Linked DNA regions of Sus scrofa. The protein of the gene in region 2 interacts with the protein of the main gene of each other region in a pairwise test. Links are inferred from orthologs where the notes say so. Each region holds a gene or a part of one and is shown on either strand. Other genes may lie near its edges.

What was found.
Region 1: the proteins of MORF4 family-associated protein 1 (region 2) and BRK1 interact in binary tests that used the Homo sapiens proteins (3 or more experiments, as listed by UniProt). The link is inferred for Sus scrofa from reciprocal best matches to the Homo sapiens genes MRFAP1 and BRK1.

What each region holds. Positions count from the first base shown.
Region 1 is NC_010455.5:66,312,872-66,320,257, reverse strand, and holds the start of BRK1 (protein BRICK1), read right to left. Parts: upstream 4,821-7,386; 5' UTR 4,745-4,820; coding exon 4,543-4,744; intron 1-4,542. UniProt on the Homo sapiens protein: Involved in regulation of actin and microtubule organization. Part of a WAVE complex that activates the Arp2/3 complex. As component of the WAVE1 complex, required for BDNF-NTRK2 endocytic trafficking and signaling from early endosomes.
Region 2 is NC_010450.4:4,118,458-4,126,008, forward strand, and holds MORF4 family-associated protein 1, read right to left. Parts: upstream 4,623-7,551; 5' UTR 4,401-4,622; exon of another isoform or gene 4,283-4,400; 5' UTR 4,245-4,282; coding exon 3,861-4,244; 3' UTR 3,848-3,860; intron 3,339-3,847; 3' UTR 2,327-3,338; downstream 1-2,326.

The DNA.
Region 1 (7,386 bases), on a different chromosome or scaffold from region 2:
TAGAGTCAGAGAAAAAGGTGTAAAACTAAAAAACTATCATCTGTAATAATGTATTTTTAAAATCTTCATCAATTCAACATACAGAATAGGCCTAATGTCAGGATGTCATGGCTGCATCATGATCTGTGTGTCCTTAGGTTCAGGAGGTCTTTAGCACTGAAAGGGAAAACCAACAAGAGATCAAAACTTGGAGTTCCCATTGTGGCTCAGTGGTTAACGAATCTGACTAGGAATCATGAGGTTGCAAGTTTGATCCCTGGCCTTGCTCAGTGGGTTAAGGATCCGGCAATGCCATGAGCTGTGGTATAGGTTGCAGATGCGGCTTGGATCCCGTGTTGCTATGGCTCTGGCGTAGGCTGGCGGCTACAGCTCTGATCTGACCCCTAGCCTGGGAACCTCCATATGCCACGGGAGTGGCCCTAGAAAAGGCAAAAATGACCAAAAAAAAGATCAAAACTCCATTCTCACCAGTTGGAATCACAGAGTAAAAGCTGTTCAGAAAGTCTTTCGATAACCTGGAAAAAGAGTTCCCTCTCCAGAGCACAAGGCCTACGAAGACTGTGGTTAGGGTGAGAATTGTATGTTTAAAGTGCTACAGATGCCCCCTCAAAATAAACGCCAACAAACTCTTTGTACCACCAAATCACATGATAAACACAACACAAGCCTCCCAGGTACACAGCAGAACTGAGTCATACTCAGGGCTTAGAATGGGAAAATAAATCCCACTCACTCATCCTGAGTCATCCAAGTCCAAGACGACAGACTCAAGTCTGTCCTTATGATTTATCCAGTTTCTCAGCCTGGTGGTCTTTGTTTCGTTATACTGTCAATCTTCAGGAACTTGCCTCAGGTATACTGAACTGCTAAGTCAAATTGCTTTAACTTTAAATTTTGCTAATTGTTCTTACTTGTAATTAATGTTTTTTTCGTTAAAAGGATTAAATTTACTTCCTAAGATCTTCACAAACTACCTACTAATTACTCCAAATGCTAGGCCATTATCCTCACTTTAAAGGATAGGCCACTAAACTGGCCTAAACTGAGGGAAACCATTCCTTCCAGCTCCTGAAGATTGGACTCCTGTGTGTTTATTTCCAGGCTTGTTGGTCTAGAACTTGTTGGAAATTTCAAAAAAAGAAAAGCATTCTCTATCTAATAATAAAATGTGACACACAGATACAAAATCTCACAGCAGCTATTTCCTTACTTATAAAGCAGGAAAAGACACATTTCTCCTCCACAAAGCCTAAGCTCAAACTCAAAATTTTCAGTTAGTTCCAAGACTCACTATAAATTTAGTGATACGTCAAGAAGTTTTGTGCCAGAGATAAACATATGTTTATTATATGCTTATTAACATGATTCAGTGCTCAAAAATGAAGTTATTACATTATCTGCATGCAAACTAGGGGGACTGGGATGCTAGATGACTTAAATTTTGAAAAACAGTCCCAGTTTAACTGGGTTTTTTTTAGGTTCTTTATTTACTGAACTGACATTCTTAATACTTTGCTTGGATATTCTTTCTACATATCCAATATTAACTCCTACCAGATAAATGAAGTCTTTTAATTCTGCTTTTAAAAGAAAAAACTCTCCATGTCAGTTATTTGTCCAACTGCTTTCCATGCCTCTACAGAAAAGGACAAAGTCTCAAAACTGTGATCCTGTCAGCACTCCATCCTTCCCTGAGCATGGAATATTTTGCTTGCTCCTATGTGGCCTTTTCTCTGACAGAATGTTATGAGTAAAGAATCCTCAATAATAGTTTAGCTCTCTAAGAAAGTAGGAGGGACAATTATCAGAACATTGAAAGAGTTTACAATGAACTTTAAAAAATAACTTCAGGGGAAGTTCTATCACGGCTCAGTGGTTAACGAACCCAACTAGCATCCATGAGAACACAGGTTTGAGCCCTGGCTCAGTGGGTTAAGGATCTAGCGTTGCCATGAGCTGTGGTGTAGGTTGCAGACACAGCTCGAATCCCGTGTTGCTGTGGCTGTGGCACAGGCTGGTGGATGCAGCTCCAATTCGACCCCTAGGAACTTCCATATGGCAGCGCTAAAAAAAAAAAAAGAAAAAAAAAGACAGAAAAAACTTGAGGGAGGTCCATGGCTCAACAGGTAAAGGTTGTCACTGTTGAGGTTTAATCCCTGGCCCAGGAACTTATTTATTTATTTTGCTTTTTAGGGCTGTACTCATGGCATATGGAAGTTCCAGGTCAAAATGGACCTGTAACTGCCAGCCTACACCACAGCCACAGCAACTTGGGATCAGAGCCGAGTCTGTGACTTACACCACAGCCCACAGCAAGGGCGAACCTGAATCCTCATGGATACTAATTTCTATTTCTTCTTTTTCTGCTGCTGCTTTTTTTTTTGCTACACCCTCGGCATGTGGAAGTTCCCAGACCAAGGACTGAACTGTGCCACAGTTGCAGCCTGTGTCACAGTTGTGGCTTGTGCCTCTTTAACCTGCTGCACCACACAGGAACTTCCAGGGATCTATAATTTCCTTTCTTTCTTTTTTTTTTTTTGTATTTTTAAGGCTGCTCCCATGGCATATGGAAGGCTAAGGGCTGAATCAGAGCTTCAGCTGCCGGCCTATACCACAGCAACAAGGGACCCGAGCTGCATCTAAGACCTACATCACAGCTCATTGCAACGCCAGATCCTTAAACCACTGAGCAAGGCCAGGAATCAGTGAGAGTCCTCATGGATACTAGTCAGGTTCATTACCACTGAGCCATGATGGGAACTCCCAGAGATCTATAATTTCTTAACTACCATTCCTATCACAACTTCTATAGCAAGTAATATGTATGAATATGTATCACTGGCATATAATTTATACTATTCTTACTGCTCACTAATACAACCTTTCCCCCAGTCCCTGAATGAGGACTCCACCATCCCAAAACATATCAAGATTATAGTTCTAGAGGTCCTGCAGTGGTGCAGTGGGTTAAGAATCCGACTGTAGTGGCTCTGGTCACTGCAGAGGTGTGGGTTCAATCTCCAGCCCAGGGCACTGGGTTAAAAGATCTGTTGTTGCTGCAGCTGTGGCTTGAATTCAATCCCTGGCCCAGAAATTTCCATATGCCATGGGTATGGCTATAAGAATTTTAAACATTTTTTAAAAAGGTTATAGTCCTACACATTTGTATGCAAGTATATATATTTATATATTTTATAAGCTTATTATAAATAAATAATGTGTATTTACATACAAATGTAAAAGACCATGTATATATTTGTCTTTTCAGGGCCAAACCCAAGGCATATGGAAGTTCCAAGGCTAGGGGTTGAATCGGAGCTGTAGCTGCTGGCCTACACCACAGCCAGAGGAATGCAGAATCCCAGCCACCTCTGCACCCTACACTACAGCTCCTGCAACACAGATCTTTAAATTACTGAGTGTGGCCAAGAATCAAACACAGGTCCTCATGGATACTAGTCAGGTTTGTTACTGCCGAGCAACAAGGGGAATTCCTATATGTAAATATATTAAATCAGAAACAATGTTCTGCTTTGCTCTGATGTCATTATTTCATCTTCAAAATAGAAATCACTTAATTGTAGGAAATGGTTCTTATTCTGTCTTCCCCACAGAGACTGAGAAAGAGCCTTGTACTCAGATCTAGTTTGTCTTGCTGATGCTTTTGGACAAATCTCTTGCTGTCACCTTTATACACTCCTTTGGACTTCTCTTAGCAAGAAAATAATTCCTTTTTAAGTCTTTTTAAATTTATCAGTTTCCCCTACTTAATCGCTTAATGTTGCTGAATTAGTGGGCCAGAAGCACAACTGGAAAAAGATCACTAGATGTCATCCCCACACCTTGTGATGACATAAAAAGTTTACCCAGTGCCCGGTTCTTTCAAAGTAACACTCGGAGAACAAGAGTCAGGAGTCTCTGCTGCAGGGTGTAGCACAAGGATAGGAAACAACGCGGAAGGAACTTTAAGACTGTCACGGACAGGTCATGCCAAGGAAAGATTTTGCTAGAAGCAGACAACACCCACTGTGGTCTAGATACTAGCGATGCAGAGATGTCCCTGGCCGGACGCGATGTGGGCCCTCCTCCGCTCTCATCTACCACTCTGCACAGCACACGCCGAGACAGGAAAGGACCGACAGGAGGGGCGACTAACAGGCTCGACGCTAAAGGGCTTCTGGACAGCGCTCTCTGAGCACCAAGTGACGACTGAAACGAAGCACAAAAGAAGGGAGACGCCTGAAGAGAAGGAAAGATTCAGGCGATGGATGGGGCTGTCTGACACGTCCGGGAAAGGAACGGACTTGTTACTGGATGCGGGGGGAAGGCAATGAAGCCGATGAGCTCAGCGTGGGGCAGGATAACCCCACAGGGAATGATCAGTGGAGGCCGGGGGTCAGAGCGAGAGGGGAAAAGTGCGGCCTGAAGGCGGAAGCAAACACCAGCAGGAGCCCACGGCTCCCAGAACCCGCGTCAAAGCTTCTCAGCGCCCTCCCTAGGCGGGCCCCCCTCCTCCCTGCCTCCCCCTGCTCGCCCGCTGACCAAACGAGTTGAGAAAGTCTGCGATTTTCTTGATGCTGCTGGTGATGACTTCAATGTACTCCCGGTTCGCCCAATCCTGGTGAATCTCCCGCTGCACGGGATCCTCTTGGCCTGCCATGGCTGCAGCTGAAGGAAGCGCGACTGCGCACGCGCCTCGACCCTCCAGGCCTCCAGTGCGCCGACGCAGCCAGCCCACGCCCATGCTCGGTTGGCCACAAATCCACAGGCTTCGTGATGCGCCTGCGCATTGTCAAGTCCCCGCCAGCGTCTTCGCTCTTCTCCCACACCCCGGAAAACGGTGGCCGCAAAACCGGCTTGGAGAATGGAGTGCGCACGCACTCAGAGCCCCCCCCGTCCCCCCTCAGTCACTGGCAGTTTTGGTCGTTAGGGGGCGCGTGAGCCCGCATCAACCCTAACTTCAGGCGCTCCAAACTGAGATCTCTGACCACAATAAGCTGGGCAATGCCAATTAAACCACAGAAAACACAAGTCATTTCAAAAATGCCTTTTAACAACACATGATGCCCACCTTGCATTTATCAAATGAACAAAAGGTTATTTTTTTAAACTATAATACTTAGAGATGAAGAGGCTGGCTGAAGGGAAATGGGAAAATTAGTAAATAGCTGGTCATACTGTAAGCTGGCAAGATCTATTCAGAAGGAAATTTAATAAAGTCATTGGTGGAGTTCCCGTTGTGGCTCAGCCGTAAGGAACATGACTAGTATCCATGACGTGGATTCCATCCCTGGCACTAGCTCAGTGGGTTAGATAGAGCTGCAGAGTCTTTGATCTGATGGCTGTGGTCCAGGCTGGCAGCTTACAGCTTTGATTCGACCCCTAGCCTGGGAAGTCCACATGCCTTGGGATGCGGCCCAAAAAAGACAAAAAAGAAGAGCTCATTGGAAAAGAGAAAACACTTTGAGCACAATGTTCTTAAAGGCATCATTCATTTAAAAAAACAAATCTCAACTGTTGGGGAATGGCTAAATATCAGTATAGTCACTTAGAGCAATATTATGAGGTCATTTAAATGTCAATTATGGCAACAGAACACACATGCTAAAGTGAAGAAGAAAACAAAATACAAAATTTTTTCTTTTCTTTTTTTTTGGTGGGGGAGCCCGCACCCCTGGCATATGGAGGTTTCCAGACTAGGGGGTCTAATCAGAGCTGTAGCTGCCAGCCTATGCCACAGCAATGCCAGATCAAAGCAGCGTCTGCAAACCTACACCACAGCTCACGGCAACAATGGATCCTTGACCCGGTGAGCAAGGCCAGGGATCTAACCCGAAACTTCATGGTTCCTAGTCGGATTCGTTTCTAATGTGCCACGATGGGAATTCCTTTTTCTTTTTCTTTTTTAACAATTTTAAAAAATATTTTGTCTTTATTTATTTAGTCTTTCTGCCATTTCTTGGGTCGCTCCCACGGCATATGGAGGTTCACGAGGCTAGCGGTCGAATCCGAGCTGTAGCTGCCAGCCTACGCCAGTGCCACAGCAACATGGGATCCGAGCGGCGTCTGCAACCTACACCACAGCTCACAGCAACACCGGATTGTTAACCCACTGAGCGAGGCCAAGAACCGAAGCCGCAACCTCATGGTTCCTAGTCGGATTCGTTAACCACTGCGCCACGATGGGAACTGTCTTTATTTTATATAATGATATTTTTTCCATTATAGCTGGTTTACAGAGTTCTGTCATTTTTTCTACTGTACAGCATGATGAACCATTGTCTAACAATTTTTAATCATATAATTTTGCTTTGCAGACTTTCATTAAAAAAAACTCAACTGCACAATAAAAACTTTTGTCTCTGATTCAAGAGAAAATAAAGGAGTTCCCATTGTGGCTCAGCAGTAACAAACCCGACTAGTATCCATAAGGATACAGGTTTGATTCCTGTCCTCGCTCAGTGGGTGAAATATCCAGCATTGCCATGAGCTGTGGTGTAGGTCTCAGACACAGCTTGGATCCTGCATTGCTGTGGATGTGGTGTAGGCCGGCAGCTGCAGCTCTGAATCGACCCCTAGCCTGGGAACTTCCATATGCTGTGCTAAAAAGACTAAATAAGTAAATAAATAAATTAATTAAATAAACTTACTAGGGAAAAAACCAGTAGTTCAAAATCATTTTAGTCTTTTCCAAGACTCATCAGTCTCTGCCCCTCTCCATTTTTCTGCCTCAGCCTCCCACTCTCTCCACTGATCTCTCCTTCCACAGGCACATGCACACAGTGGACACCTGACAATTCTTGACAAGTCCCTCCAGACTATCAGATCTTCCAAACTAGAATCTTATCCTGACACCACATCCCCAGGCTCCCAGTCTCCTCCCCTTGGCTTCATCCAAAGAGCCAGACAAAAAGGTGACTGCTCATAAAGCACCAGGGCAATTTCTGGGTTTGTAAGCTAAGGGCAGGTGGGCCATTAGTTAATTTGTTCTTTTTGAGATTTAACAGGAAGCAGAGCAAAGTTTTTGGCCAGGAAGTCAGGGAGAGACATGAATCTTTCTTCTTGCTCTTGACAGGTTAGCATTTATAAACTGTCTCCTAGTGCCTGGATCTTTCCAGTGCAGCAGCAAAAGACTTTGGAACTCTGCGCAAGTCAGCCTGAACCCCCAGAGCAGGGTTTAAAGACTAGAACTTACTCCCCCTCTTTTTTTTTTTTTTGGTGGTGCTCAGGGCATGCGGAAGTTCCTGAGCCAGGGATAAGAACCTGCACCCTAGCAGTGACACCACCAAATCCTTAACTGCTAGGCCGCCAGGGGAACTCCTGGAGCTTACTTTTTGACACTAACTATAGCTCCAGGAACACATGTAGATTCCAGGCCAGTCTTTG
Region 2 (7,551 bases):
CCAGCAGCCAGTTCTCCTCTTTCCCACCCTCCTGGTCCAGGGCAGCCAGGACTCTGAGGTGTTACCTTTGGCAAGGTTAGAAACTCTTTAGACGGACCCCGCTTCACCTGGGGCCAGACTTGAATAATGCTCCCCAACCCTCGGCCCCAATGTGGTGAACTCGTCCTTGGCTGTTGCCCGTCCTACTGCGGTGTCCACTAGAATTAAACCGCTTTCTTACCAGGGTCGCTTCAGCTGATGAAAGCCGACGCCAAAGCCCCTGTAGGGCGGCTTTGTGATCGCTCCAGCCTGACTCTGACCAGGCACGACACCAGCCAGGATTTTGAACCTTCTGCACCGGCCTCCACCCCTCAGAGCTCCTGTTGCGAAATGCCTTGCCTGCCCCCCGCTGAGTGCGCTTCCCTGCCCGGCCTCCTCGCTCTTTCGGCAACAGCGCTTTGATATAAAAGGACACTGGCCTCTGCTGTGTCAGGAACCCGTCCAAGAACCCAGCTGGCCCTTTCTGCACAGCCGCCCGTGGCCTCATCTCTGACCGTCAGGGAACGGAGAGAGGGCCTGGGGCTCATGAGGGACATACGGGTCTGTAATAAAAAACTCTGGGCGTTCCCGTCATGGCTCAGCAGTAACGAACTCAACTAGTGTCCATGAGGACATGGGTTCAATCCCCGGCCTTCTCAGTGGGTTAAGGATCCAGCATTGCTGTGAGCTGTGGTGTAGATCGCAGACATGGTTCGGATCCTGCGTTGCTGTGGTGCCGGCCAGCAGCTATGTAGCTCCTGTTCGACCCCTAGTCTGGGAAGCTCCTTATGCCGCTGTTGCGGCCCTAAAAAGCTAAAAAAAAAAAAAAAAAAAAAAAATTCTGGCAACTCTGGCCAGACTCAGTATTGTACAGCCCTTTAAGACGGCCTCTCCAAATGGCTCCTTACCACATTCTTAGAAAATGCAAGATTCAATTGCTTCTCCAACCTAGCAGTCGCAAGCCGGAACAGTCACCTACCTCTACTTATAGTACAATGAATAATATGCAGCCATTAAAAAAAAAAAAAAAAAAAACCAAACAGCAGATCTAGCTATTTAGATGGGGTGAACTTTCTTTTTTTTTTCTTTTAAGGGCCGCACGTGAGGCATATGGAAGCTCCCAGGCCAGGGGTTGAAAGAGCTGCAGGTGCGGGCCTAAGTGACAGCCACAGCAATCTGGGGTCCGAGCTGTGTCTGGGACCTACACCACATCTCACGGCAACACAGGATCCCCAACCCACTGAGCGAGACCAGGGATCGAACCTGCATCCTCATGGATCCTACTCAGGGTCATTAACCTCTCAGCCACGAAAGCACCTCCCTAGGGTTAACTTTCAAACTATAGTTTTAGGTAGAAAAACTATCCCAGAACATTCACAGATTAGTATTTCTATGTTTTTTTAAAAAAAAGAGGTTGGAGAAAGTCTTGTGTATGTTCTAAAACACATGGTGTTTGTAATGATATTTAAGATACTGGTGAATGGTTGTCTTCCTAGAGGGGAACTGGGAAGCTGAGAAAAGGAACAGACCAATTCTTACTCATTGTATTACCTCTTTTAAAGATAAATTACCAACTGCGAGGTGATATCCTGAAACTGAAAAAAGGCCTTGGTGTCAAACTCGTGAGATACTGACTGTTGTACCAGCGTTACTGTACTAGTTGGGGCAAACTACCAAATGTGGCTTTGTTGTTTGTTTTTTCCTGATGCTGCTCATCATACTCGCCCTCACCACCCCCAACACCAGAACTCCGGCACCTTCTGTTCCCTGTGCCTGGGTGTCCCTCACTCTCTCCTTGTCCTCGGAATCTGTGTCCATCCCTCAAGGCCAGGTTCACCTTACTTGCTCTGAAATGCTTTCTTTCTCCTCCTCAGTCCTCTAAGATACGGTATCTAGCTTGTGACACATGGTTTTCCAGTTTCACGCTTGCTATCAGCTGGATGCCCCAGGAAGCAGATCCTGAGATGAAAATCAGAGTGCAGGCAGGCTCTGTAGGATGCAAAATCTATGGCCATGGAGAGCCGACTGTACGACAATTTTTCCTAAGGAATGTGAGCATCCCTGGATCTTGGTTATCTGTGGGGAGGGGGTGAAGGGTTTTGGAACCAACCCCCTCAATACCAAGGGCCAACCCCATGCTTTTTCCTCCGCCAGTCTCCATAGCAGCACGCAGAGATATGATTACCTCCTCCGTAATTTGGGGCTTAAAAACCCCAATAAATCCACCCCCCATTTGGCAAAGATGACCGCTACGAAGGAAATTTTTCTTAAAGAAACGAAATTTCTTAACTCAATGATTTCTCAGGTCTTTTGTCTTTTCAAGCAAATGAATACTTTTATTAACATGGTAAATTTCTTTTTAAACACATGGTAGGGTTTTGACCTCAAATACTTGTCAGGTCTGCTGCTGAAATGAACTTATAGCTAGACAACTTATGGATGTTGAAAGTACTTAGTCCCTATCCAGTTTAGGGTCCAAAACAGACAGCCCTTGCTTTTCTTCCCCAGACCTTCAAGGGCTTTTGCAAATATCGCTTTTATTTTATGCCCAGAATGCCTTAAAATGCATCAGGGTATTCTATCAATTATACAGAACACCAAGACCTATCTCATGTTCTATTCTCAGTTCCACGTCGAGTAAAGCTGAGTAAGGTTGTCCAAACAAACTGACCAGACAGGTTACATCACACAGTGTGCCGCATAAAACTTACATTTTGAACAAAATACATCTCTCCTCCTTTGGTCTCACACAGAAATTAAAGTCCCCAAACAATACCATCCTCCACCCCTTCTGATTCATCAGTCCTAGCCAGATCAGCCCCATTCACATTCCCAGTAGAAGTCTGGTCCCCTCTTCAGCTTCTTTAAAACTGCTGCATGGAGTCGTCTTCCAGATATCATGCAGTTCCTTCAGCACCTTCAGAGCTGGAGAACTCCAGCTCTGAGTCTCATCCGTCACACACAGACCCAAAGTTCCAGGAAGCTATCAGGTCACACAAGAAAGAGCAAAGCACCTCAAAAATTTAGAAACAACAAAAGCCCAGGAACAAACGTGACTGCTGCAAGAGCTTACAATCTAGGCCCTAATTCTTGCTCGTGAGAACGTTTTCCAAATAAAAGTTACCTCCCCAAACAAAAACACTTAACAATCAAAAACTCATATTGAGGTCATTAACCACAGACCATAGCAGAAACGTAGTGTAAGCGAGGACAAGAGTGTAGACAGAGAAAAAAAGAGAAAACAAAAGGCTCTCTGGTTTCAGCTTCTCCAGGGTGTCAGCCAATCTCCATCAGTGGACCAGAATCCATTGGCTGTAAACCTGAAGTGCAATCGGGAGAAACTCAGCATTAACAGGTTAATCCTTCAAGAAAACCCAACCCAACGCCCTCACACCTGCAGCCCCGCAGGGCACCACCTCTCCGGGATGCCATCTGACTCTTTTCAGGCTTCCAGCGAATTCTGGAACCGTCCAGAAACAGCCTTCCCTCCAGCAATCGTACATTTATTTCTCTCCACCCCAGCTCAATGGGCCCTACCACGATCTCGTTCTCTGGGACTTTTGCTTATGCCCCTCGAGTTGATCCTACTGACCGTGACCTTACGTTGCGAACACACACAGACGAAACCGAATCAACCCACCCGCCCACTTTTTCCCTCTAGCTTCCTGAGACTGAAAAAGCACACAAACGGTCTGTCCTAAGACCTCCTAAGGTAAACACGCAGCATGTTTCACTCTCTCCTCCCAACTCCCACCCCGAGGGGCTCGCTGTTCCATCCACGGCCCCGAGGCCGAGCCAAGAGGGGGGCAGCCCCGGGCCCCCGCCTTACCGCCGACCCGGCTTCAGGACGACTCGCTCTTCTCTATCCGCCGGACCAGCTCCACCAGCATCTCTGCCATCTTCGCGATCTCCTTGGCCTTCTCCTCGGCCTTCTCGCACCTCTTGGTCCCCCTGCCCTCGACCGCGTCGTCCGCGCTCTGAAGATGGTTGAGCGCGCTCTCCTCCGAGGCCTCCACCTGCGTCTTGATCTGGATGAGCATATTGTCCATCTCCCACAGCTTGCTCCGGTTGCGCAGGTACGCCCGCCCGTGCTCGCGGGTCAGCGCCGCGATGTCCTCCCGCATCTCGTTGATGACCGGGAGCAGGAACTGCTCGAAATCCTCCTCGGGCTCCAGCACCTCCACCTCCTCCGGCTCCGCCAGCTCGACGATGTCCAGGGGCCGCATCTCCTCCCGCTGTTCCGGAACCGCAGGAGCCGAGTCGGCTGCAGAAAGAAAATGGAGACTCGCTATGCTTACCGACACACTTCCAGAATATTCTCTCAAACTTTTACCCCGTTTAAACTTTTCGCCTCAGAGCAGCCACGGAATCAAGCGACTTACGAGCTGAGAAGCGGAGGACAAAATGGAGTCCTAGCCGTCAACCAGCGCCCTGCGTGTTGCGGCCCCTTTCACGACACGGCCGCCCCTCTTTACGGTCAGGCCGCGGGTAGAACTAGGTGCGGGGGCGCGCACGTCAGTGGTGGGCGACGCGATCCGCGCTACGCGGCCGCGCGCGCACGCACGCTCTTCCTGATACATCCTCTCCCCTTGAGGCCCGCGCTCCGCCCCTCTGCTGCCCCACGCACGCGCACGCACGCCCTCCCTTCTCCCTCCGGGCCCGTCGTCTCCGTCTCGCGCCCGTCTGCTCCCACCCGCCCCCGCGCGCACGCGCGCGCGCGCACACACGCTCTCTCCTCTCTCCCCTCCCCCTTCAGTCTGGCGCTGCTCCCAGCGGCCCCTGGCTTGGGAGTTGGGGCGCTGCGGTGCTCGCTCTTTTAAAGTTTTTCTCCAGCGTGGAGTTTACAGCTTTCAGAGATCTGAGAGCCATCTTCCCGCGCTGAACGAGAAGGTCCTGCGTAATGATGGGAGTCGCGGTCTCACGCAGAGGGCCCCACCCCGTTTAGTACCGCAGCCGGACCCTCCCCGACATCTCAGAGGCTGCTCTTCGTTATTGCAGTCAGAAGTGTCGGGGTGTCTTTCTCGAAACCGAGACCCCCGGGTGGGAAAGGCCGGGTCTGAATTATTCTGCGTTCCCACTGGACTCGTCTTCACGACTTTTACCGGACTGAAGGCTCCTTGAGGGTCTTACTCTGTCTCAGAGGTTTAGAGCAGAACTTGGCACAGGGTAGTATATTGCTTTAACATTCATTGCACAGACAATTTTAAGGAAACGTATGATGATTTCTTGGCCTGTTGACCTAGTCACAAAATAGCAAAAAAAAAAAATCAGGAATCCAGCTTGCACAAGTGATACGGCTTCTGTTTTCCAGTCAGGTGGGGGACACACCTCCCAGTTCTGAATATAATCGAGTGAAGAATGAAGAGAAACAACCATCAGATGCAGCTAGAGATTCTCATGCTAAGTGAAGTAAGTCTGAAAGAGGAAGATAAATATCGTGTAACTTATATGTGGAATCCAAAATATGGCACAAATGAGCCTATCTTCAGAACAGAAACAGGGAAGTTCCTGTTGTGGCCCAGCGGTAATGAGCCCAGCTAGCATCCTGGCCTTGCTTAGTGGTTTGAGGATTGGCGTTGCCCTGGGCTGTGGAGTAGGTTCCAGGTGCAGCTTGGATCTGGCGTTGTGGCTATGGTGTAGGACAGGCAGTTGCAGCTCTGATTAGACCCCTAGCCTGGGAACTTCCGTATGCCGCAGGTGCGGCCCTAAAAAGACAAAAAATTTTAAAAAAAGAAACAGACTCACTGACATGGAAAACAGACTTGTGGTTGCGGTGGGGGGGGGTGGAGTGGGATGGACGGGGATTTGGGGTTAGATGCAAATGATTACATTTAAAATGGATAAGCAATGAGATCCTATCGTATAGCACAGGGAACTATATCCAATTACTGTTTTTTTGGTTGTTTTTTGCTTTTTTGGGCCAAACCCAAGGCATATGGAAGTTCTCAGGCTAGGGGTCCAATCCGAGCTATAGCTGCCGGCCTACACCACAGCCACAGCAAGGCAGGGTCTGAGCCGTGTCTGTGACCTATACCGCAGCTCACGGCAATGCTAGATCCTTAACCCACTGAGCGAGGGCAGAGTTTGAACCCGAAACCTCATGGTTCCTAATTGGAATTTGTTTCCGCTCTGCTACTGCGGGAACTCCTGTGTCCAATCACTTGTGATAGAACATAATAGAAGATCATGTGAGAAAAAGAATGTATGTGTGTAGGACTGAGTCACTTTGCTGTGCAGCAGAACTGGTAGAACATTGTGAATCAACTATAACTTAAAAAGAGAAACAGTAATCATGAAAATGCTCTGTGAATTCCAAGCATAGAGGTATGTAAAGTGCTTAACTTTTTGTTTGGACTTTTCTCAGTTCTTTATATTTGGTTGCTCCTGTAAAAATCCAGCTTTGGGGAGTTCCCTTCTTGGCTCAGCAGTCACAAACCTGATTAGGATCCATGAGGATGCGGGTTCGATCCTTGGCCTCGCTCAGTGCATTAAGGATCCGGCGTTGCCGTGAGCTGCGGTGTAGGTCACAGGTGTGGCTTGGGATTTGATGTGGCTGTGGTGTAGGCCGGTGGCTACAGCTCCAATTCGACCCCTAGCCTGGGAGCCTCCATATGCTGCAGGTGCGGCCCTAAAAAGACAACAACAACAAAAAAAAATTCCAACCACATCGGGACTGTTATGCTCTTCTTTGTTTTGTCTTTTTAGGGCTGCACCCTTGGCATATGGAGGTTCCCAGGCCAGGGGTCTAATCAGAGCTGCAGCCGCCTGCCTACACCACAGCCACAGCAACACGGGATCTGAACCACGTCTCACAGCAATGCCGGCTCCTTAACCCACCGAGCAAAGCCAGGGATCAAACCCGTAACCTCATGTTTCCTGGTCAGATTCGTTTCCGACGCGCCACGACAGGAACTCCATGTTATGCTCTTCTTTTACTGACTTTTAACTTAACTGCCTTCTGCTTAGAAATATAGTTCTGGGAGTTCCGGCTGTGGTGCAGTGGGTTAAGACTCTAATTGCAGCAGCTCGAGTTGCTGCTGCAGTGGAAGCGCTGGTTCTCTCCCGGCTTGGCACAGTTCCCAGGGTTGGAAGGCCATGGATGCAGGGCGTCAGGAGCAGACAGGTACCCTCCCTTTATTATCGGTCCCGGGCTGGCCCGCAGGAGCCCAAGCTGCTATGCTTCCTTTCCTTTCTCTTTTGCTGCTGCTCAGAGACCTGAATGGCTCAACCAAGCCAAAGCCCGAGGTTATCAGAAGTGGATGGGGACACTGGGGGTGTTAACAAGGCCACTCTGTTTTAATTTGCTGGTGGAAGAAGGAGGAAGGCGAGCAGGTGACAAGGCCATCCAGGTGGTGGCCAAGAGTAAGGATTACTTTGCTTTGACCTCTCAGTGAAGAAATACAGGCTGATTCACAATCACTAGGGCAAAACGCCCAGGAGAGAGGTACTAACAAAACCGAAAAGACAAACAGAACTTCCAGAGTAATGAGGTGAAAAGAGAGAATAAAATAGAAATCTGACCAGCGGAAAAGG